Linked DNA regions of Lonchura striata. Each later gene encodes a partner of the first gene's protein in a complex. Links are inferred from orthologs where the notes say so. Each region holds a gene or a part of one and is shown in the gene's direction. Other genes may lie near its edges. The genes, in order: PRKAA2 and PRKAG1.

Region 1 (10,125 bases):
CAAGGTCAAAAAAGGCTGGATCTGCTGTACAGACCTAAACTCTTCCTCAGTCTGTCCCTGGAATAGAAGCTCATGGGTGCAACGTGAAGGGTGAGGATAAACTTCAAACTCCTCCTCAGCAGCAAGTGCTTTCCCAGTGGAGCTGGGATTATCTCACAGATTATGCCCTAAAAGAAAACATACTTGTCAAGCCACTGGAAAAAAATGCTACTACAAGCAGCCCACAGTCACTGATTTTGTGTTCACCCAGCTAAAAGTTGTCTTCCAGAATTTGCTGCTGAGGCTACAAAGTTTCTGTAGGAACTATACTGCCCACAACTTGTGAAACAGTATGAATATAAAAAAATACACCCTGACCTTTTCATATAGCTCACTTCACACCCCATAGTGGTTTTCATATTTGTGGATGAAGCCTAAAAGGTTGATTGCAGGATTGCACAAAAGGGATTAATGCACAGAGAATCTTAGAAATTTTAAAGTTGGAAAAGATCTCTAGGATCATAGAGCCCAACCACAACTATCTGCTTGAAAAATAACCCCCAACCAAACCATCACACTAATCACAGGGCATATAAAAAGATAGGAGGAATTCATTACTGTTACATTCTAATGGGTTGAGAAATCCAATTACTCATTTGTGCCCTTAATAAAATTTTATCCAGAAGTCTCATTCTCATGTAGGAGTAATCCTCTCAGAAATAATATCTTTCTCTTGCTGCTGGTTGGAGTGTTGTGCACCCAGTGCCTGCACAGGCAGGCAGTGTCTCCTCAGCAGCCTCCTCAAGAAATGGGTGTTTATCATGTGCATGCTTAAAATGTTCTATTTTCAATGCAAGAAATTCCAGCCTCCTTCTCCACTCTCATACAGAGTTTTCAGCTCACATCCCCACCAGAGCATCACATATGGCCACACAGATTTTCACCAAACACCAACAAGAGGCCCTAATAGTTTCTGGTTCCACACCAATTACATGTTTTGAATAATGCTGTTTGTTGTTCCATTATATTACACTCACAAGATTGTATTTGAATAACCAATAATTTTAATCACCTCTAGAAAAGTTAATTTCCAACACTGTAGCACAAATGGTTCAACATCTGCTCTTGCCTGCTACATGGGGTTTGATAAATTGCATCACTTACATAATATAAATGGGAATTGCTTGGTTACAAATCTAACGTGCATAAGCTGCCTCTGATGCATGCAGTTTCTCCAACATTCAAAAAATCCAATTTTACGTGTCACAGTTTACCCACTGCTGCATTATCTCATTAACTATCTCCTCCCAAAACAGACTGGAAATGCAAATCCTACTGAAAATCCACAGATTTAGGGCACTTAGAAGGGTTGGATAGCATGCCCCAGAAGTTGAGCTTTTGTGTTAACAGATGCACAGCATCCCTGGCATTTTTTTTGGTCACATTGAAGTGGAAAAATACAGCACCCAGATGTGGTGGCAGGGGCAAGCTGCTGAGGGGGGAGGCTGGACACAACTGGAGATGCTCAGCTGCAAACCCTTCTGAAGGCTCACGATGGTGACTGAAGGCATGTGTTGCAACAGGCAGCACCCAGCTTTTCCTTGGTGCTCTTCAGCATCCTGCTGCTCAGCCCTGCATTTCCAAAAACATTCCCTTTGAATATCCAGTGAAAGCAGTTTGGAGCCTGAGAGGAACACCACCAAACGTGAGCGTGAGCCAAAGACTCTGTGGGAGCTGCAGGGACCCACCCGTGTTTCTCCCAGGACTCCTGCATCCCACAGAAGGGTGCAAAAAAACCCCACATTTTAGCACTCAGACCTATTTTCTCCTGTAAATGCAGCCTGGCAGCAGAGCAGGGAGAGGGAAGGGCCAGGTATTCCATGGCAGCTTTCCCTGTGCCATGGCACAGTCCCTGTCTGTGAGGAGGGTGGACGTGCAGACAGCTGGGATGGGGGGCTCCTGGCTGGCACTGGGGTGAAACGAGGCACAGTCAGCAAAGCAGGAGAGGACAAGCCCTGGCAGGATGTATTTAATAAGCCCAAACCCAGAAAACCCGACTGCTTACTCGCAGTGTCTGAAAAAACAAGAGACAACTGGCCACAAAGGAACCGAAGGCATGTGAGGATGCTCTCCCCTAAAGAGAGACATGTATCCTGCTGCTCAGACAAGGGATTTCTCGATGAGCAGGCAAAAAGAAAATAGGAAAAGAAAAGATTCTCTGAGACTGCAAACACCCAGCCTCCAGCTGGACTGATCACTATGCAGTCTACATTTGATTTGTGTTTTAAATGAGCTGCAACGCTACTACACAAAACAGATCCTTCAGAGATGAATGTAAGCAGGGAGAGGAGATTTCTAGCCTGCTTCACAGTCAAATACCATTTTGTGTGATCTGCACCAAAAATAAAAACGTCACTTTGCCAGACACTGGAGTCTCCATCTCCTAGCAACACGCCCCACCCAGCCTTTTCCTGAGACCCTTCAGCTCCTGCCTGCAGGCACAGCTCCCTTCCCCCGTGTCTGCAAATGAGGAACCCCTGGTACAGATACACACGCATATATGGAGGTTCTCAAAAGCCAGAGGGAAATTAAGCAAACCTTCTCAAGCCTGAGCCCTGGCACTGCTTTCCAGGAGCATCCCGGGCTCTGCTCTCAGCTCTCACCAACACTGCAGAGAGTGGAAGGCACTGACCCACCTTGGGACATCCTTGCTGCCAAGCAAAGGCCTTTCTGTGAGTCTCCTGCAAACCTTAAGGCCCCAAAATACATCCTGTAAGTTAAAAACCTGATTAATATTAATCCGATGTTTCTAATAGACAGCCTCTGTGTGTCAAGAGGCAGTGGAAACACTCACGGCATCAGCTTGCTCTGAGATTTAGTAAAAAATCTCTTTTTCAGCTTTCAGGAAACAAGTAGGACAGTGCATCTCCATGCAGCAGCTCTTGTTAAACATATTAGTTTAGCTATTAAACAAACACCACTCGAGTTCACACCACTTTGTGTGGTGTTGCATTCAGGCAGAGCCAGGGCTTGCCAGGGCTGGAAGGGGAGATCAAACAAACCCCAAAGACAGAGCAGAGCTGCCCAGAGCTTGCAGAGTAGAGACTTGCACGGGCTGACAACTTTGCAGCTGCCTGAAGAAGGCAGAGCTTTCTCAGGCATTCCAGGAGATTGCAGCATTGTATCTTATCCAGAGTTTACTCTTTGTGAACCCTGTTTCTCTTATGCCTTCACGTACATCAATTGTTCTGGTTGAACAGAGACGGTTTCATTATCCTACAAACGGTTTTGTGTTACAGCAACCTTCCTCTTCTACCCCCAGCTTGCTATTTTAGTTATTTATGTTATTGGATTTCTTGAATTAAGTTGCTGTTGTATTATTTATGATAGCACAGTTGCATAGGCTGGTCATTATTTTATCGGGGACCCTGTGTTTACACACACTGCTCCAGCTTCCCAAACAGCCCTTTATTACCTTGGAGCTCAGACTGCATTTGTGACTGCCTTCTGCTACTTCTTGCAGCTGAATGAGAAACAAAGAGCTACAAATTAACACTATTAAAATGTGGCAGGACCACTTTCCAGATATGCTAGGTGCCGATTTTGGTGTTCAGTCATGCTGCCTTTTTTGGCAGAAGCATCCATCCTTTTTCTTTTTCTTTTTTTTTTTTTTTTTTTTAAATGTAAACAATCCATGTGGTCCAGGCAAAGTTTCTGTTATACACAGGAGGGAGAACATCCTGCTTTCACTATTAAATATTCTGGAATTATGGCTGAAAGTGTCCCTTAAGTGCACTTTGTCTCCCAGCCCAAGGCACAGCTGAGCCTCAGAGGGTGCATTTGGAGCCCTGCCCCTCACAGCCAGCATCCCTCCTGTGGGGACGTGCCCTCGGGGCCCAAAGCAGCTCCCCTGGCTGGTGAACAGTGTCACCAGAAGGAGGGACCCACCCAAGGAAGCAGCACCAAAAGCAGGCCATACCCCAAGGACAGTGCCACCCTCTGATGGGCACATCCCTGGGCAGGTGTGGCATCCCTCACAGCAGAGAAGGGCGCACCCCGAGGACACTGTGACCCTCAGGTGGCTGTCACTCCAAGGAGAGTGCCACCAGCACCTCTCTGACGTGTGCCACACAAGCCAGGCACAGCACAAGGAGGGTGTGCATGTCCCCACAGCAGGCAGGTGTACCCCAAGGAGGGAGCAGCCCAAGGGTGGCACCACCCCAGGGAGGGTGTCACTGCACGCAGGGAGGGTGGTCCCCAAGCAGAAGCTGTCACTCCCAGGCAGGTGCATGGAAACTGAAGGTGCACACGGAGGACAGTGCCACCAGAGAGAATGATGTCCCTTGTGGCAGATGCTGCTCCAAAGGGGTGTCACCCCTGGCAGGTGCGTGGCAATAGAGAATGTACCCCAAGTACAGTGTCACTTGGGGGCGGGTGTCACCCCCAGGCAGGTGCCACTCTGAAAGGATGTCACCCCCAGGCAGGTGCACGACAATAGAGAATGTACCCCCCAAACAGTGTCACTCCGGGAAGAGTGTCACCCCTGGCAGATGCCTCTCTGAAAGGATGTCACACGTGGCAGGTGCCTCTCTAAAAGGATGCCATGTCACCCCTGGCAGGTGCACGGCAATAGAGAATGTACCCTCTGAACAGTGTCACTTGGGGCAGATGCCTGTCTAAAAGGATGCCATGCCACCCCCGGCAGGTGTGTGACAACAGAGAATGTACCCCGCAAACAATGTCACTTGGGAAGGGTGTCACCCCCGGCAGATGCCTCTCTAAAAGGATGCCATATCACGCCCAGCAAGTGCTTGGCAATAGAGAATGTACCCCTCAAACAATGTCACTCGGGAAGGGTGTCACCCACGACAGATGCCTCTCTGAAAGGATACCATGTCACCCCCGGCAGGTGTGTGACAATAGAGAATGTACCCTCTGAACAGTTTCACTTGGGGCAGATGCCTGTCTAAAAGGATGCCATGTCACCCCCAGCAGGTGTGTGACAATAGAGAATGTACCCTCTGAACAGTGTCACTTGGGGCAGATGCCTCTCTAAAAGGATGCCATATCACCCGCGGCAGGTGCCTCTCTGAAAGAATGTCACCTCCGGCAGGTGGGTGACAATAGAGAGCGCACCCCGAGTAGAGTGTCACTCGGGGAGGGTGTCACCCCGGCAGGTGCCTCTGAAAGGATGCCACGTCCCGGCCGGCAGGTGCGCGGCAACAGAGCACGCACCCCCGAGCAGCGCCACCCGCGCAGGCCGTCCCGGCGGCAGGTGCCGCCCCGGGGAGCGCCCGGCCGGTGTCCCGGTGTCCCGGCTCCCGGTGTCCCTGTGTCCCGGTGTCCGGGCTCCCGGTGTCCCGGTGTCCCGGCTCCCGGTGTCCCGGCTCCCGGTGTCCCGGTGTCCCGGCTCCCGGTGTCCCGGTGTCCCGGCTCCCGGTGTCCCGGCTCCCGGTGTCCCGGTGTCCCGGTGTCCCGGTGTCCCGGCTCCCGGTGTCCCCGCCCGCACCTGGCGCTCCCCGCCCCCGCCGGCCGGGCCCGCTCCGCTCCGCTCGCTCCGCTCGCCGCGCTCCCCGCCCCGCCGGCCCGGCCCTGTGCATTGTGGTCCGGCGGCGGGGGGCGAACATGGCCGAGAAGCAGAAGCACGATGGGCGGGTGAAGATCGGCCACTACGTGCTGGGGGACACGCTGGGGGTCGGCACCTTCGGCAAAGTCAAGAGCTGAGTACCGCGGCCGCGGGCGGGGCCGGGCCGGGCCGGGTGCGCCCCTCGCCGCCGCCTCCCTCCTCCCGCTCCCGCGGCCTCCGCGCGGCATCGCCTCCCTTCCCCGGGCTGCGCTCCTTTCCCTGGGCTGTGCTGCCTTCCCCGGGCTGTGCTCCTTTCCCCGGGCTGTGCTGCCTTCCCCGGGCTGTGCTCCCTTCGCTGGGCTGCGCTCCCTTCCCCGGGCTGTGCTCCCTTCCCCGGGCTGTGCTCCCTTCCCCGGGCTGCGCTCCTTTCCCCGGGCTGTGCTGCCTTCCCCGGGCTGCGCTCCTTTCCCTGGGCTGTGCTGCCTTCCCCGGGCTGCGCTCCTTTCCCTGGGCTGTGCTGCCTTCCCCGGGCTGCGCTCCCTTCCCTGGGCTCCTCTTCCTTCCCTGGGCTGTGCTGCCTTCCCCGGGCTGCGCTCCCTTCCCTGGGCTGTGCTGCCTTCCCCGGGCTGCGCTCCCTTCCCTGGGCTCCTCTTCCTTCCCTGGGCTGTGCTGCCTTCCCCGGGCTGCGCTCCTTTCCCTGGGCTGTGCTCCCTTCCCCGGGCTGCGCTCCCTTCCCTGGGCTCCTCTTCCTTCCCTCGTTTCCTCTTCCTTCCCTCGGCGGCACACGGGCTGCCCGCGGCGGGGATGCGGCGCTGGCGGGCGGCTGCAGGGAGAGATGCAGCGCTCTCCCCTCGCTGCTCCGGGCTGTCACATCCCCGGGAGCCCGCGCTGCGAGCGGCACCCACCAAAACTTCACGGAGGTGATGGGGAGGCTGGAGCGCGCTCCGGCATCCTGCCCCTCCGTGCCGGGAATGCGCCGCTCCCCGCCGTGCTTCCCGAGGGGCTGCCGTGCTCCGGGGTGCTCCTGGAGCCGGCGGCGGAGGCGCTTGGTGCTGCCGCCCCGCCGAGCATCGCCCCTGCGGATTCCAGCATCCCCCCGCGGAGCTGAGCATCCCCCCGCGGATCCCAGCATCCCCCCGCGGAGCTGAGCATCCCCCCGCGGATCCCAGCATCCCCCCGCAGAGCTGAGCATCCCCCCGCGGATTCCAGCATCCCCCCGCGGAGCTGAGCATCCCCCCGGGGAGCCCAGCATCCCCCCGCAGAGCTGAGCATCCCCCCGGGGAGCCCAGCATCCCCCCGCAGAGCTGAGCATCCCCCCGGGGAGCCCAGCATCCCCCCGCAGAGCTGAGCATCCCCCCGGGGAGCCCAGCATCCCCCCGCAGAGCTGAGCATCCCCCCGGGGAGCCCAGCATCGCCCCGCGGAGCTGAGCATCCCCCCGCGGAGCTGAGCATCCCCCCGCGGAGCTGAGCATCCCCCTGCGGATCCCAGCATCCCCCCGCGGAGCTGAGCATCCCCCGCGGGGATGGAGGGGTCGGGCGGGCAGGGATGAGCCAGCTGTGCCTTCACCCGGGCGAGGGAAGGCTCCAAAGCGACCTGAGAGCACCTTGCAGTGCCTAGAGGGGCTGCAGCAGGGCTGAGAGGGATTTCTGGCCGGGCGTGGAGCGGTGGGGTGACAGGGAATGGATTCGTGCTGACAGAGGGCAGGGTTAGATGGAATATTGGGGAGAAATTGTTCCCAGAGAAGCTGTGGCTGCCCCATCCCTGGAAGTGTCCAAGGCCAGGTTGGAAAGGGCTTGGAGCAAGCTGGGATAGTGGGAGGTGTCCCTGCCCATGGCAGAAGGAGGGATGAGATGAACTTTAAGGTCTCTTCCATCCCAAACCCTTCCAGGATTGCAGGATGAGGGGCTTGTGTCAGGCTGGGGCTCCACACAGGGATTCCTTGGCCAGTCATGCCAGAGCAGCCAGCTCACATCCTGAAGGCTTTGCTTAACCTGGCTGTGAGGTTTGCAAATATTTGTATTTCTTCTTTCCCTGTGGATTCTGCCATTACGTGCAAATTTCATTTTTTAAACGAGATACTAAAAAACTCAGAAAACCAACAGAATTCAGTGTCTAAGCTGTGTTTTCCACTAGGAAATGGGTTTAGGTCGAGCTGGGGGAGCAGCTGTCCCATGCCGTGTCCCCCCACCCCACTGGGATGTGGCTGGGCAAAGGGGTGCTGTGCCTGCCCTCAGTTTCTGGAGCTTTAAAATAAACCCAAATGGACAGCAGATGAAAGAAACCACTACAACCACTGCAGCTAAGTCCACCTGTGGCCATTAATCATGTCCCTAAAATATATATTGCTGTGTTTAATCCCAAACCACAAATTTACTGTCTAAAGAATTATCAGAATAAATACTTCTAACAGTAAGGACCATTTAAATCACTTGTGTGTACTAGCAGACATCAAAACTGCTCCAAAGGCAGGTTTTTTCCTTGCAGACCAATTTAAACCTGCCAACAATAGCCTTTTTTCCCCTTAACTAGCACAAATACCCCCTACCCCACATATGACCTGAATGTGGTAAAAACGGACATTTTCCAAAGAAATATTTCAAGTGACATGAAAGAGATTTTCTAGCTCAAAATCCTTTATAGGTGAGCAGTACCCTTTATATGTTTTTTTTCCCTTAATATTTTGCCTACAACTGACAGATAAAGTTTGTGCTTGAGACTGGGAACCAAAATGAAGAAATGGAGTGTCCCATTTATATAAAATTACAGCATTTTACTAGAATGAGCTTTAGAAAAACTTTTATTCACATGAGAAAAGCAGAGGTTTTTGTTGATTGATTCAAGCATTGTGTGTTGGGTATAATAATTGCTTTTTCAGGGAGAAATCAGGAGCCATCAATGACATCTCTTGTTGCTGATGTGTTTTCTTCAAATTCTGCCTCGCACAAGAGGTTTTGGTTTTGGTGCTTTTTGCTGCCTTACTTGTTGAAGTTAAGAAATCATAATTTACAACTGTTCAGGATTATTGTTATTAGGGAAATAAGAAATGGCAATGAAAGGGAGGATTTAGTGACATGGGGTACAAACCAGAGCTTGAACTCGTGGCTGGAGCTCAGTAGTCATTCTGAGCCATCAGGAGCCAGACAGAAAAAGTCCCTGACTGCCTGGGTCATGGGGGAACTGATGCTCCTAAAAACTGGCTGAACACTGCAAGAAATTGGTTTTTTTTTAAGCCCATTCAGTTTCTTGATGTCATTTACAGAAAATCCACGCAAGGCACGGAGGGGAGCAATGAGGTTGGCAGATAAGGGCAGGGTTTTGGTGCTAATATTTAAATTCCATCTGGAAGTGGGGACGAGGACACAGCATCTCTTAGAAGAGAGGAAGGTGGCAGGAGCTGATGTGGTGGATGGACAGGAGGTGTCATGTCAAGACTTGAAGTTACCACACAGCATTTTTACCAAATACAGTTATTTTCCCTGACCTCCAGGCCAAAGATAAATTGCAGAAAACAGGATTATTCGCAGAAAAAACAATTTCTAATTTGCAGAAAATCAGAATAATTTGCCGAAATAAAACTGTGGAGAAGATCTTGGATTCGGGAGTTTAGCAAAACCTTGGAGGAAGGAGTTGGCATCTCCTTCCCTGGGGGTTGGCAAGAAGAGATGAGACAAATTGTGTTTGCTGTGGGCATGTCCCACCCTGTGGGTCCCCAAAAGCTCTCTGTGACCACAACAAGGTTCACAGTTGGTGCAGCCCAAAGAGCTTAAATCAAAATCCAGCAGAGTAACCCAGATATTTTCTGTGTGTGATGCCACCCCCAGCATCCCTGGGTGCCTTGGTGGCTCCTTTGCCTGGCTTGTTTGCCCAAAAGTGACACATCTGTGGTCCCTCGAGGACTTGGGATGTGTTTGTGTCACCTCCACGGGCTCCAGGATCAGATCCCATTTTTCCCAGGCACTGTAGCATTGCTGCTCCAAGACAAACTTGGTGTCAGAGGGAAGATAAAGTAAAGGAGGCTGAGCAGAGGAAGAGCAGGGAGAGGCTGAGACAGCACAAGCAAGTGGCACCGGGGCAGAATTAATACAGCATTGCTAAATATATGTTTTGGGTGGATTTTATTTTTAACTTTGGGCTGAGATAAGGGCCAGCAGAGCTGATAGGGAAGGAGTTTCCTCACCCCTCCATAAGCTTCTATATTGCCCTGAAGCATTTGCAAAAATGTTAACTGCTTCTGCTGCCTGAGCTGGTAGGATAAAAAAAGTGCTGTAAAAAGCTTTGCTGTCAAGGGGTTTTAATTATTATCTCTGCTCATGGTGCTATAATCACTATTCCTCCTCTTTTTTTTTTTTTTTTTTTTTTTTCTTTTATAAAAATGAGTAAATGTCAAGAGTCTCCACTTTTTGAACCTGGGGAGGCAGTGAGAGGGAAGGAGGTGTCACCACTGCCCACCCTTGGGGTGGGGATCCCCTTCCATGCCTGGGGGAGACCTGGGACCTGCCCCTCACTTTTGGGGTGATGCTGGGCTTCAGAGACAGTGACTCTGTGAGCAGAGGGATTGTTGTCCTTGCTGCCCATGTCT
Region 2 (10,987 bases), on another chromosome or scaffold:
CGATCTCGGCCTCTGGAGGACGGGGACGAGGCGAGGCCACGGCTGAAGAAGTGGAAGGGGGTGCGCTGGAAACGGCTGCGCTTCCTCGTCACCATCCAGAAAGGGGGAGCCAAGCGTGACGGCGACAAGGAGATCGCCGAGTTCATCGACAAGCTGGGAACCACACTGCGCCCCGAGAAGGTGCCGCAGGACATGCGCAAGTGCTGCTTCTGTCACGAGGAGGGCGACGGGGCCACGGACGGGCCGGCCCGCCTACTCAACCTTGACCTCGACCTCTGGGTCCACCTGAACTGTGCCCTGTGGTCCACGGAGGTGTATGAGACTCAGGGAGGGGCCCTGATCAACGTGGAGGTGGCCCTGCACCGTGGGCTGCTCACCAAGTGCTCCCTGTGCCAGAAAACCGGTGCCACCAACAGCTGCAACCGCATCCGCTGCCCCAGCGTGTACCACTTCGCCTGCGCCATCCGCGCCAAGTGCATGTTCTTCAAGGACAAGACCATGCTGTGTCCCCTGCACAAGCTGAAGGGGCCCTGCGAGCAGGAGCTCAGCAGCTTCACCGTGTTCCGCCGCGTCTACATCGAGCGGGACGAGGTGAAGCAGATCGCCAGCATCATCCAGCGTGGGGAGCGGCTCCACATGTTCCGTGTGGGCGGCTTGGTCTTCCACGCCATCGGGCAGCTCCTGCCACACCAGATGGCCGATTTCCACAGCGTCACGGCCCTCTACCCTGTGGGCTACGAGGCCACGCGCATCTACTGGAGCCTGCGGACCAACAACCGCCGCTGCTGCTACCGCTGCACCATCTGCGAGAACAACGGGCGCCCCGAGTTCGTCGTGCAGGTCATCGAGCAGGGCCTGGAGGATCTTGTCTTCTCTGACTCCTCGCCTCAAGGTGAGGAGTTGGGATATGCCAGCGTCCAACCTTTGTCCCAGTGGCTGAGCCACGCCAGAGCACACCAGAGGGTGGGGCATGGAAGGTGGCTTGAGGCTCCCCCTGGGTCCCCATCTTCAGCTCATGGCACTCGGAGCTCTGCTCTGGTGACAAGGTGGTGATCGGTCACTTGGGCTCAATGATCTTGGAGGTCTTTTCCAGCCTAATTAATTCTGTGGTTCTCCCTTCCCTTGGCAGCTGTCTGGAACCGGATCATCGAGCCAGTAGCGATGATGAGGAAGGAGGCTGACATGCTGCGACTCTTCCCCGAGTACCTGAAGGGTGAGGAGCTCTTCGGCCTCACGGTGCACGCAGTGCTGCGCATCGCTGAGTCGGTAGGTGCCAGGGTGGGTGTGGAGGTGTCTCCTCCATCCTGGGGTCCACCCTGCTGGGGAAGGGCCCAGTGGCTCTTGCTGCTGCCTCTTGACCTCCGGTCCTTCCACGTCCCCCTCTGCAGCTGCCGGGTGTCGAGAGCTGCCAGAACTACCTGTTCCGCTACGGGCGCCATCCTCTGATGGAGCTGCCCTTGATGATCAATCCCACCGGCTGCGCCCGCTCCGAGCCCAAGATCCTCACCCACTACAAGCGGTAAGTGGGGTCGGAATTCACCGGACCCACCAGGGGAGCTGGGATCCCTGGGCATCTCTCAACTCTAACCCTTCTCCCCCTCCCGTGAAAGGCCCCACACCCTGAACAGCACAAGCATGTCCAAGGCCTACCAGAGCACGTTCACGGGCGAGACCAACACGCCCTACAGCAAGCAGTTTGTGCACTCCAAGTCCTCCCAGTACCGGCGCCTGAAGACGGAGTGGAAGAACAACGTGTACCTGGCACGGTCCCGCATCCAGGGGCTGGGGCTCTACGCAGCCAAGGACATCGAGAAGCACACGATGGTCATCGAGTACATCGGCACCATCATCCGCAACGAGGTGGCCAACCGGCGGGAGAAGATCTACGAGGAGCAGGTGAGGCTCTGCTGGGGTTCTGGGGGCTTGTGTGGGGACTTGGGCAAGGTGTGGAGAGACTTGGGTGGGACATTGTGGGCTCTGGTGGGACATGGAGGGACTTTGAGAAGGAAATGGGGGAGTCAGATGAGAAGCTGGGGCCTTGAGTGGGATGTGGGTGGCCTTGGGTGAGATGTTGAAGGCTCTGGCAGGACATGAGGGGACTCAGAATGTGGAGGGATATCAAGGGTTCTGGTGGGACATGGACGGTCTCGGGTGGGTTGTTGGAAGCTCTGGTAGGACATGGAGCGACTCAGGTGGGATGTGGAGGGACTCGTATGGGATTTGAGGGTCTCCAGTGGGACATGGGATGGTGGACATCAACTCGGATGGGATATGGGGACCTCAGTGCACCCCTGAACCCCCTCTTCTCCTCCGTGGCAGAACCGCGGCATTTACATGTTCCGCATCAACAACGAGCACGTCATTGACGCCACGCTGACAGGGGGCCCGGCCAGGTGAGCACGGGGGGCTTTGGGGTGGTGGGATACCGCCAGAGGAAGCCATGACGTCTGTCTGTCCTGCCCCCGGGTTGGGGCTGACCCCGCTGGTCCCCCAGGTACATCAACCACTCGTGTGCCCCGAACTGTGTGGCCGAAGTCGTGACCTTCGACAAGGAGGACAAGATCATCATCATCTCCAGCCGGCGCATCCCCAAGGGGGAGGAGGTCAGTGAGGGACTGAGGGGGTGCTGAGGGGGGTCCTGGGGGTCCCAGGGAGGGGGGCTGGAGGTGGCAGAACTGAGCTCTGTGCTTTGGGTGACTCCCCGCTCCCTCCCAGCTCACCTACGACTACCAGTTCGACTTCGAGGACGATCAGCACAAGATCCCCTGCCACTGTGGAGCTTGGAATTGCAGGAAGTGGATGAACTAACTGGGAAAAAGGGGCTGGGGGCTGCCACCCCCGCCTCAGAGACCTCGCCGAGCCCCCCAGGGCTGCAGGAGGTGCCAGGGGCGGCCGGGCACTGAGGGAGAGCAGCGGCCGCGGAGCTGCCGGCCCTGCCCGAGCGGGACGGACGGACAGATGAACTGGCAACTCAGGGTTTTCTTTGCTTCGTCCTGCGAGGAGAAAAAAGGAGTGGGGGGGCTCAGAAACGCCCCCTTCACCACCCCCTGCCTGCCTCCCTCGTGGGAGAGCTGTGGGGGAGCAGCGCCAGGCCCAGCGCGGCCGGAGCGATTGTGCAGAGCCGGTCTGGATATAACGATTATTTTATTTTATTTTATTTTGGTTTCTTTTTTTTTTTTTTGATTTTCCTTTTAAGTTTCTTTTTTTTTTTTTTTTGGTTTTTTTTTTTTTTTAGAAACTAATGATATTTGCTCGCTAATTACCAAGGTAACACAGACTCCTTGAGCTCGACAATCCGGGCTCTGCCCCGCCGGCGTGGCGGCCAGAGCTTGCTCGGTTCCTTTGATCTCTTTTTGTTTGTGCGTGTGGACGAGACCCCGGAGCGGCGGCGGGATGCAGCCAAGACCCCGACAGACACAAGGAGCTTCTGCACCCAAACCTACCTCATTTTAAGTGTTAGATTCGTTTCTTTTTATTTGTTGTTGTTTTTAAATGTGAGCCCCCCCCCCATCCCAACCTGCCCCCCACCCCCCCTAAGCGGGGGGGGTCTTTCCCTCTCCCTTGGGCTCCAGAGGATGTGGCTTCCCCGTGTCCCCCTCCTCATTTGTGGCCCTCCATCAGGACGCCTTGAAGGGGGGACACAGGGACACCCCCTCCTTGTCCCCCCCCTCAGGAGGTCCCAGCCGTGTGCCAAGGTGTGAGGTGGGGATGGGGGCAGGGCGAGGGGCAAGACCCGCTCCCCCAGCTCTGGTGGGGGGCTGGAGGGGCTGGGTGGGGACCCCTCCTTCCCACACGTGGCCCCCACGGCTGGAGGGGCCGGGTGGAGCCCCCCCTGCTCACCCTTGGCCCCCACGGCTGGGGCTGCACTTGGGGGGGAAGGTTATTTATCTATTTATACCTTATATTGTATATACTAGACGGGGCTGGGGTGGGGGGCTCTTTGTGCTCTGCTGGGCTGAGATTTGGGGTGCAGGGGCAAAAATGTTTGTGGGGGGGTTTTTTTTAAAACCCAGTCTCCGAGGTGGGGGTGGGGAGGGGGGGGGTCTCTCTGGAACCTCCTGCCAGGCAGGGGCGGCCTCGGAGAGCGAAGCAGCGAGTGGGCATTAACACCCCCGGCCCCCCACCCACCCCGTGCCGGCTGCGGCCCCCCCGGGGTCCCCTCCCGCCCCTCCCCACTCCGGGGGAGGACCCCGGGGGGCGCCGGGATCTCCTAACGCACAAACACGGCGCGGGGAAGGGAGGAAGGGCGAGAGGGACCCTCCTGCTCCTGGAAGTTTGGGGAGGGGGTCTGGCGGGGGTGGTGCCCCCTCCCCGCCCCGGCGCAGTGGGGGCCGGGGCCGATCTTGAAAAGCTGCTTCCGCAAACTCGTCAAAGCTGCAAAAAATAAAAAAAAAAACACAAAAAAAAAACCCGAAACAAAATAAACAAAAAAAAAAGGTTTAAGGTAAAAAATCTTTAAAAAAAAGAAAATTAAAAAAGAAAAAAAAATGGAGCAAAAGCGCGAGTGGGGGGGATGAGAAAGTTTTAACAGAAAATATACGAGAAATTTAACTTTCAGAGCTGTACATAGGCCGGGGCGTGTAGAAATCCCGTTTTTACCAATACCGGAACCACTGGATGTTATTTTAAATAAAGCGCGTGAGAAGCCGAGGCCGCCTGATCCCTCCTTGGGGAGCTCGGGGTGGGGGTCTGGGGGGCACAGCGGTGACAAGGGCTTGGTCGAGGACAGCTCGCTGCTGCTCTGCTCCTTCCTGTCCCCACAAGGTCTCTGACCCACCCTCGCCGTGTCCCCCTCCCCCCAAAACCAGTGACCCTCCCCTGGGCTACCCCGAGCTGGCAACTGGCAACTCGGGGTTTTCTTTCCGGATATCCTGGAGTTAGGGGTGCCCCGGAGTTAGGGGTGTCCCAGAACCCGGAGCTGGGTGCCAAAGGATTTGGGATGCCCCATGAGTGGGGATATCCTGGAGTTAGGGGTGTCCCAGAGCCCCAAGCTGGGTGTCCCAGGATTTGGGGTGCTCCATGACTGGGGATATCCTGGAGTTAGGGGTGTCCTGGAGCCCCAAGCTGGGTGTCCCAGGATTTGGGGTGCTCCATGACTGGGGATATCTTGGAGTTAGGGGTGTCCCGGAGCTCTGAGCTGGGTGTGGCGAGATTTGGGATGCCCCATGAGTGGGGATATCTCTGAGTCAGGGGTGTCCCCGATTTAGGGGTGTTCCTGGAGCCCCAAGCTGGGTGTCAAAGGATTTGGGGTGCTCTATGAGTGGGGATATCCCGGAGTTAGGGGTGTCCCGGACCCCCGAGCTGGGTGTCCCGGAATTGGGAGTGAAACGGGACTCGGGGTACTGGAGGCTTTGCGGGGTCCCGGGGACCCCCACGTTTGTCACAACCCCCGCTCCTTTCCCGGGGGCTCCGTGTCCGTGTCCCCCTGCCCCGGGCCATCCCCAGGTGTGTCCCGCCGTGTCCCCAAACCCCCAAACACGTGTGAGACCCCCCAGCCCCAAAAAAACCTTCCCCGTGACCCGGCGGGAGGGGAAGGGCTCCGGGCGGCCGGGAGTCAGCGAGCGGTGCCAGCAGGGCCGGGAACGGAACCGGGACCGGAGCCGGAGTGGTTCCGAGAACCGGGCGGAGGTGGGACTGGGAACAGGGCCGAAGCGGGACCGGGAACCGGGCGGAAACTGGGGCAGGAACCGGGCGGAAGCGGGGCATGAACGGGGACAGGAACCGGGCGGAAGAGGGGCACGATCCGGGACAGGAACGCGGGCAGGAACCGGGCGGAAGCGGGGCACGATCCGGGACAGGAACCGGGCGGAAGCGGGACAGGAACGCGGGCAGGAACCGGGCGGAAGCGGGGCACGATCCGGGACAGGAACCGGGCGGAAGCGGGAGCAGGAACCGGGACAGGAACCGGGCGAACGCGGGAGCAGGAACCGGGACAGGAACCGGCGCAGCGGCGCCTCGGGACGGAGCGGGACCCATGGAGGTTGTGGGAGGGACGGCGGGCCCGGGGGGGACACGGGGGATCGCGGCCGGGACCGCGGCCACGTCTGACCCGGCCCCGTCTGTCCGCAGGATCCCGGCCCCGAGCCTGACCCCGGCCCCGGCCCCGGCCCGGCCGCCGAGAGCCCGGCGGAGCGGAGCGCCCCGGGGCTGGAAGGTGATTCCGAGGGAGCCCGGGGGGTCCCGGCATGCGGGAGGAGACCCGGGGGTCGTTTGGGTGTCCCAAGGGCTGCAGCTGCTGGGGGGTTCTGTCCTGGAGTGGGGGGCATCCGGAGCTGGGTGTGGCAAGATTTGGGATGCGCCATGAGTGGGGATATCCTGGAGTTAGGGGTGTCCCCGAGTTAGGGGTGTCCCGGAGCCCTGGGCTGGGTGCCAAAGGATTTGGGGTGCTCCATGAGTGGGGATATCCCGGAGTTAGGGGTGTCCCGGAGCCCCAAGCTGGGTGTGGCAGGATTTGGGATGCCCCATGAGTGGGGATATCCCGGAGTTAGGGGTGTCCCCGAGTTAGGGGTGTCCCGGAGCCCTGAGCTGGGTGCCAAAGGATTTGGGGTGCTCCATGAGTGGGGATATCCTGGAGTTAGGGGTGTCCCAGAGTTAGGGGTGTCCCGGAGCCCTGAGCTGGGTGCCAAAGGATTTGGGGTGCTCCATGAGTGGGGATATCCCGGAGTTACGGGTGTCCCAGAGTTAGGGGTGTCCGAGAGCCCCGAGCTGGATGTCCCGGAATTTGGAGTGAAACGGGACTTGGGGCATTTGAGGCTTTGCGGTGTCCCGGGATTTGGGGTATCCTGGGTATTGGTGCATCATGGGATTTGGGGAGTCTGGGACTGGGGGTGTCCCGGAATTGGGGATGTCCCGGGTTTTGGGGTGCTCCAGGTTTTGGGGTGCCCCCTGACGCTGCCACCCCAGGGGACACTCACCGCGGTGCCTACACCGCCTTCATGAAATCCCATCGCTGCTACGACCTGATCCCCACCAGCTCCAAACTGGTCGTCTTCGACACATCCCTGCAGGTGTGCCAGGGCCGGGGGGACACTTTTGGGGCCAGGGAGGCACTTTTGGGGCTCCCTGACCCCCGTGCCTGCAGGTGAAGAAGGCGTTCTTTGCGCTGGTCACCAACGGTGTCCGGGCAGCCCCGCTCTGGGACAGCAAAAAGCAAAGTTTTGTAGGTGAGTGAGGGGTCCGGGGGTCTCTGGGGGCTGAGGGGGGCTGGCAGGACTCTCCTCACCCTGCCTGCCCCCCAGGGATGCTGACCATCACCGACTTCATCAACATCCTGCACCGCTACTACAAATCCCCCATGGTGAGTGCTGGGGTCTACCGGGGGCTCAGGTCGGGCTCTGCCTGCCCCACCTGGCCCTGGGTGGGTGATCTGGGTTTCTCCTCCTCCTCACAGGTGCAGATCTATGAGCTGGAGGAACATAAAATAGAGACATGGAGAGGTGAGGGGGTTCACTGCTGGCTGCCTCCTGCCCTTCCCGGCATAGCCGGAGCCCCCCAGGGCTGTGCCCCACCCCCCCATCCCCTCACCCACCCCTCTCCCCACAGAGGTTTATCTGCAAGACTCCTTCAAGCCACTGGTCTGCATTTCCCCCAATGCCAGGTACCCCGGGGGGCAGGGAGAGGGGCACAGCTGGTGGTGGCACCCCGAGGAACACCCCAAATCCCCCCTCCCTTCCCCCCCCACAGCCTGTTTGACGCCGTCTCCTCCCTGATCCGGAACAAGATCCATCGCCTGCCTGTCATCGACCCCGACTCGGGGAACACGCTCTACATCCTCACCCACAAACGCATCCTCAAGTTCCTCAAGCTCTTTGTAAGTCTCTGCCCCTTGGTGATGGTGGGGGCCAGACCAGGACGTTCACCCTGCGCTGCACCAGGGGCCACCCTGAGCCTCTCAGCCCAGGCTGTGCCAGAGGTTGCCCCAGGACCCCCATCCTGGGCTGTGCCAGGTCCTTGAGCCTTGTGCTACCCTGGGACTCCCAGTCCGGGCTGTACAAAGTGCCAGGTCCCTGTGCCAGGGGCTGCCCTGAGACCCCCATCTCAGGCTGAGCCAAAAGCTGCCCCAGAACCTTTGGCTGCTTCAGGGCTCACTGAAACCCCCATCCTGGGTTGTGCAGGTCCTGCACACCGGCCACCACCAGCTCTGGGTGGGCACAGCTCTGGTACCACACACTGCAGTGCCAGAGGACCCCCAGGACCCTCCCCACCGCCCCTGCCTGGGGGTCCCACAACCCCCCCTGCTCTGCACCCCAGCTCTTTCTGCTTTCACCCCCAGGCCTGGGCTCAGCGCCGTCCCCTCGCTGTCCCCGCAGATCGCAGAGGTGCCCAAGCCTGAGTTCATGGCGCGGACGTTGGAGGAGCTGCGGATCGGCACCTACAGCAACATCGCCGTGGTTGGCACCAGCACCCCCATCTACGTGGCCCTGGGCATCTTCGTGCAGCACCGCGTCTCCGCGCTGCCCGTGGTCGATGACTCGGGTAAGGACGTCCCGTCCTCGCTTTGGCTGTCCCCAAGTGACCTCTTTGGGGGCCGTGTCCCCTCCACAGCGCCGGGGGCTTGGCTGAGCTCCTCCCCTCCCTCCCCAGGGCGCGTGGTGGACATCTACTCTAAATTCGACGTTATTGTGAGTACTGTTTGGGGAAAATCCCGGGCTGGGGGGGACGCTGTGGGGTGTTGGGGGTGTTCTAACCCCAGCTGTGTCCCCAATGCTTGTCCCTGCCCCAGAACCTGGCAGCTGAAAAGACCTACAACAACCTGGACGTGACGGTGACGCGGGCGCTGCAGCACCGCTCCCACTATTTCGAGGGCGTCCTCAAGTGTTACAAGCACGAGACGCTGGAAACCATCATCAACCGCCTAGTCGAGGCCGAGGTAACTGTCCCGGGGTGCTGGGGGGTCGTGGTGGGTGGAGGCCGGGGTCCCTGCACCCCCTCAGCCCCTCTCTGTGTTCCCCCTCCCCAGGTCCACCGGCTGGTGGTGGTGGATGAGAGTGATGTGGTTAAAGGGATCGTCTCCCTCTCGGACATCCTGCAAGCCCTGGTCCTCCCACAGGGCCCCTGAGGCAGTGAGGGAGGGGGGTTCAGTCCTCCCAAGCCCCCCCAACTCTCTTCTGTAACACTGTGCCCCCCCCGGGCTGCTGGGGACACCCAGGGAATGCCCCCGCTCACCAGCAGCATCCAGCAATAACCCCCAGCCCTGGGGCAGCCCCTGCTGCCCTTCCCTGGGTGGGGGGAGCCTGCAGACCCCCCCCCATGCCGTGCCCAGCACCCCAAAGCCGTGAGGGTGATTGGGGGCAGCCCTCGAACCCCGTGGGGTGCCAGGCCAGGGTCACCCATAGCCATGCCAGGGCTGTTCCCGTGTGGCCTCTCGTCCCTGTCACCCTGCACCCTCTCCCTGGGTTTGGTGAAACCCACTCAGCTCCACCCGGCCTGGGGACCCCCCCACGCCCCCGGGGGTTTCCCCCCAGGTTCCCCCGGCTGTGCCCACACCCGCCACTGCTTCGTGTGCGAGGAGAAACCACGAATAAACACAGACCTGGCACCACCCTGGCTCCGTGTGGGGCACGGGGAGCACTGCCCGGGGACGGGGTGTGTGGGAGGGGGTGTGACCACCCCGTGGGAAGGGGGAATCTGCTGAGCTCGCCCAGACCCTAAATCCCTGTTTGTTACGCCTGTGGCTTTTCTAAAAGGCCAGGACTGGGGATGGGACAGGGACAGGGACCTGGCAGGACATGGGGACTCTCTGGTGGGCACCAAGGTGAGCAGGGGGCAGTCAGGCAGGGGCTGGGGGAGGTTGAGGGGGGATCTGGATGTTCGGCTGCCGTGGGGGGCCGGCGGGGGTCGCAGGCAGCCGGGACACCGGAGTTTGCAGCCGGTGTCCGCAGGGGAGGTGCGAGGCCTGGCCGTGCTGAGCGAGGCACATTCCTGGCGGGAAGGGGACGGCCGGCCCGGGGACCCTGTCCGTGCCAGTCCCGGGCTCCGGCAGAGGCCGCGGAGCGAGGTGAGCGCCGGGCAGGTACCGGGGGCCCGGGGGACTCGCGGGGGGGGCCGTGCCGGTTGCCATGCCGCCGGCGGAGGGTTGCTAAGCTCCGCTCAGAGCCCGCGTGGGCTGCAGCGCTTGGTGCCAAACCCGCCATCGCCTGCTTGTCGCAGGGGGGGAAGGGATCCCGCGGGGGGAGTGGGGGGGGACACAAACACACACACGCGACACGGCACCCCTGGGACGGCCCGCGGGGTCCCCGCCGTGCGCCGCTCTCCCGGCCGCCCCGGGGGTCAGCGTGGCCCCGAGGTGGCACCGGGCGGGACACGGGGTCCCCGGGGGCACACGTGCGGCAGGTGGGTGCGTGTGGGCGGGCTCGTGGCTCCGCCGAGGCTCCGGTGAGCCCCCTGCGGCGGGGACCCCCCTCTCGGCCGGGGCGATGCTGGGGGGTCCGGAGCGGGGTGCGGGGCGCCTGCGGATCTGCGAGCGGACCAAGCTGGTGCTGGTGGAGATCGACACGGTGGCGTGTTGCAGCCCCGGTACCGGCATGGCTGCGGGGTGCTGGCCCGAGCCCCCCTGGACCTACCGCCGCATCGCCGGGGAGTACGCGTGAGTGGGGACCGCGGGGTGGGGGGGGTCTGTCCTGCTCCCCTCCCTCGCTCCCCTCGCTCCCCTCACTCCCCGTCTCTGTCTTGCAGGTACCTGGAGAAGCGCTTTGTGGCCGAGCTGGCCCCCCCCTGGCCCCCAGTGCCCTCCAACCCCCCTTGTCGCCTGCAGGACTTCACCGCCCGGCCCCGGGTACCCCCCACCCCCTGCCCCCCGCGACAGCTTGAGGGGCCGGGGGGCAGTGGACCCTGGCGGGGGCACCCCGTGCCCGCGCCTCAGCTCCCGGTGTCGGGGGACAAGCTGGGCCCCCCCACCTACGAGGTGCACATGCAGCGGGTGCAGGCAGCCCACGCCCGCCGCGGGGCACCCCCCCCTTACATCGCACCCCCCGCCTATGACGGTCCC

The links.
Region 2: the proteins of PRKAA2 (region 1) and PRKAG1 are in contact, whole or in part, in a crystal structure (PDB 6B1U), measured with the Homo sapiens proteins. The link is inferred for Lonchura striata from reciprocal best matches to the Homo sapiens genes PRKAA2 and PRKAG1. Residues at the interface, in NP_006243.2 of Homo sapiens: Asp329, Asn330, Ile333, Met334, Ala337, Phe340, Tyr341, Leu342, His366, Pro367, Glu368, Arg369, Met370, Pro371, Pro372, Leu373, Ile374, Asn444, Val446, Thr447, Pro530, Arg531, Leu532, Gly533, Ser534, His535, Thr536, Met537, Asp538, Glu541; in NP_002724.1 of Homo sapiens: His36, Asp40, Leu41, Ile42, Pro43, Thr44, Ser45, Val50, Phe62, Leu64, Val65, Thr66, Gly68, Val69, Arg70, Trp75, Ser77, Lys78, Lys79, Gln80, Phe82, Pro158, Glu159, Ser160, Gly161, Asn162, Lys170, Arg171, Lys174, Phe175.

Annotation. Positions count from the first base shown.
Region 1 is NC_134611.1:8,261,001-8,271,125, reverse strand, and holds the start of PRKAA2 (5'-AMP-activated protein kinase catalytic subunit alpha-2), read left to right. Parts: upstream 1-5,559; 5' UTR 5,560-5,604; coding exon 5,605-5,698; intron 5,699-10,125. UniProt on the Homo sapiens protein: Catalytic subunit of AMP-activated protein kinase (AMPK), an energy sensor protein kinase that plays a key role in regulating cellular energy metabolism.
Region 2 is NC_134629.1:6,053,128-6,064,114, forward strand, and holds PRKAG1 (5'-AMP-activated protein kinase subunit gamma-1), read left to right. Parts: upstream 1-5,957; 5' UTR 5,958-5,974; coding exon 5,975-5,980; intron 5,981-6,069; coding exon 6,070-6,154; intron 6,155-6,903; coding exon 6,904-7,007; intron 7,008-7,081; coding exon 7,082-7,163; intron 7,164-7,238; coding exon 7,239-7,297; intron 7,298-7,390; coding exon 7,391-7,436; intron 7,437-7,542; coding exon 7,543-7,597; intron 7,598-7,683; coding exon of another isoform or gene 7,684-7,720; coding exon 7,721-7,810; intron 7,811-8,272; coding exon 8,273-8,475; intron 8,476-8,583; coding exon 8,584-8,621; intron 8,622-8,722; coding exon 8,723-8,869; intron 8,870-8,959; coding exon 8,960-9,058; 3' UTR 9,059-9,541; downstream 9,542-10,987. Other genes in the region: KMT2D (histone-lysine N-methyltransferase 2D), read left to right, coding at 1-892, 1,130-1,266, 1,389-1,519, 1,611-1,896, 2,320-2,393, 2,495-2,603, 2,716-2,808. UniProt on the Homo sapiens protein: AMP/ATP-binding subunit of AMP-activated protein kinase (AMPK), an energy sensor protein kinase that plays a key role in regulating cellular energy metabolism.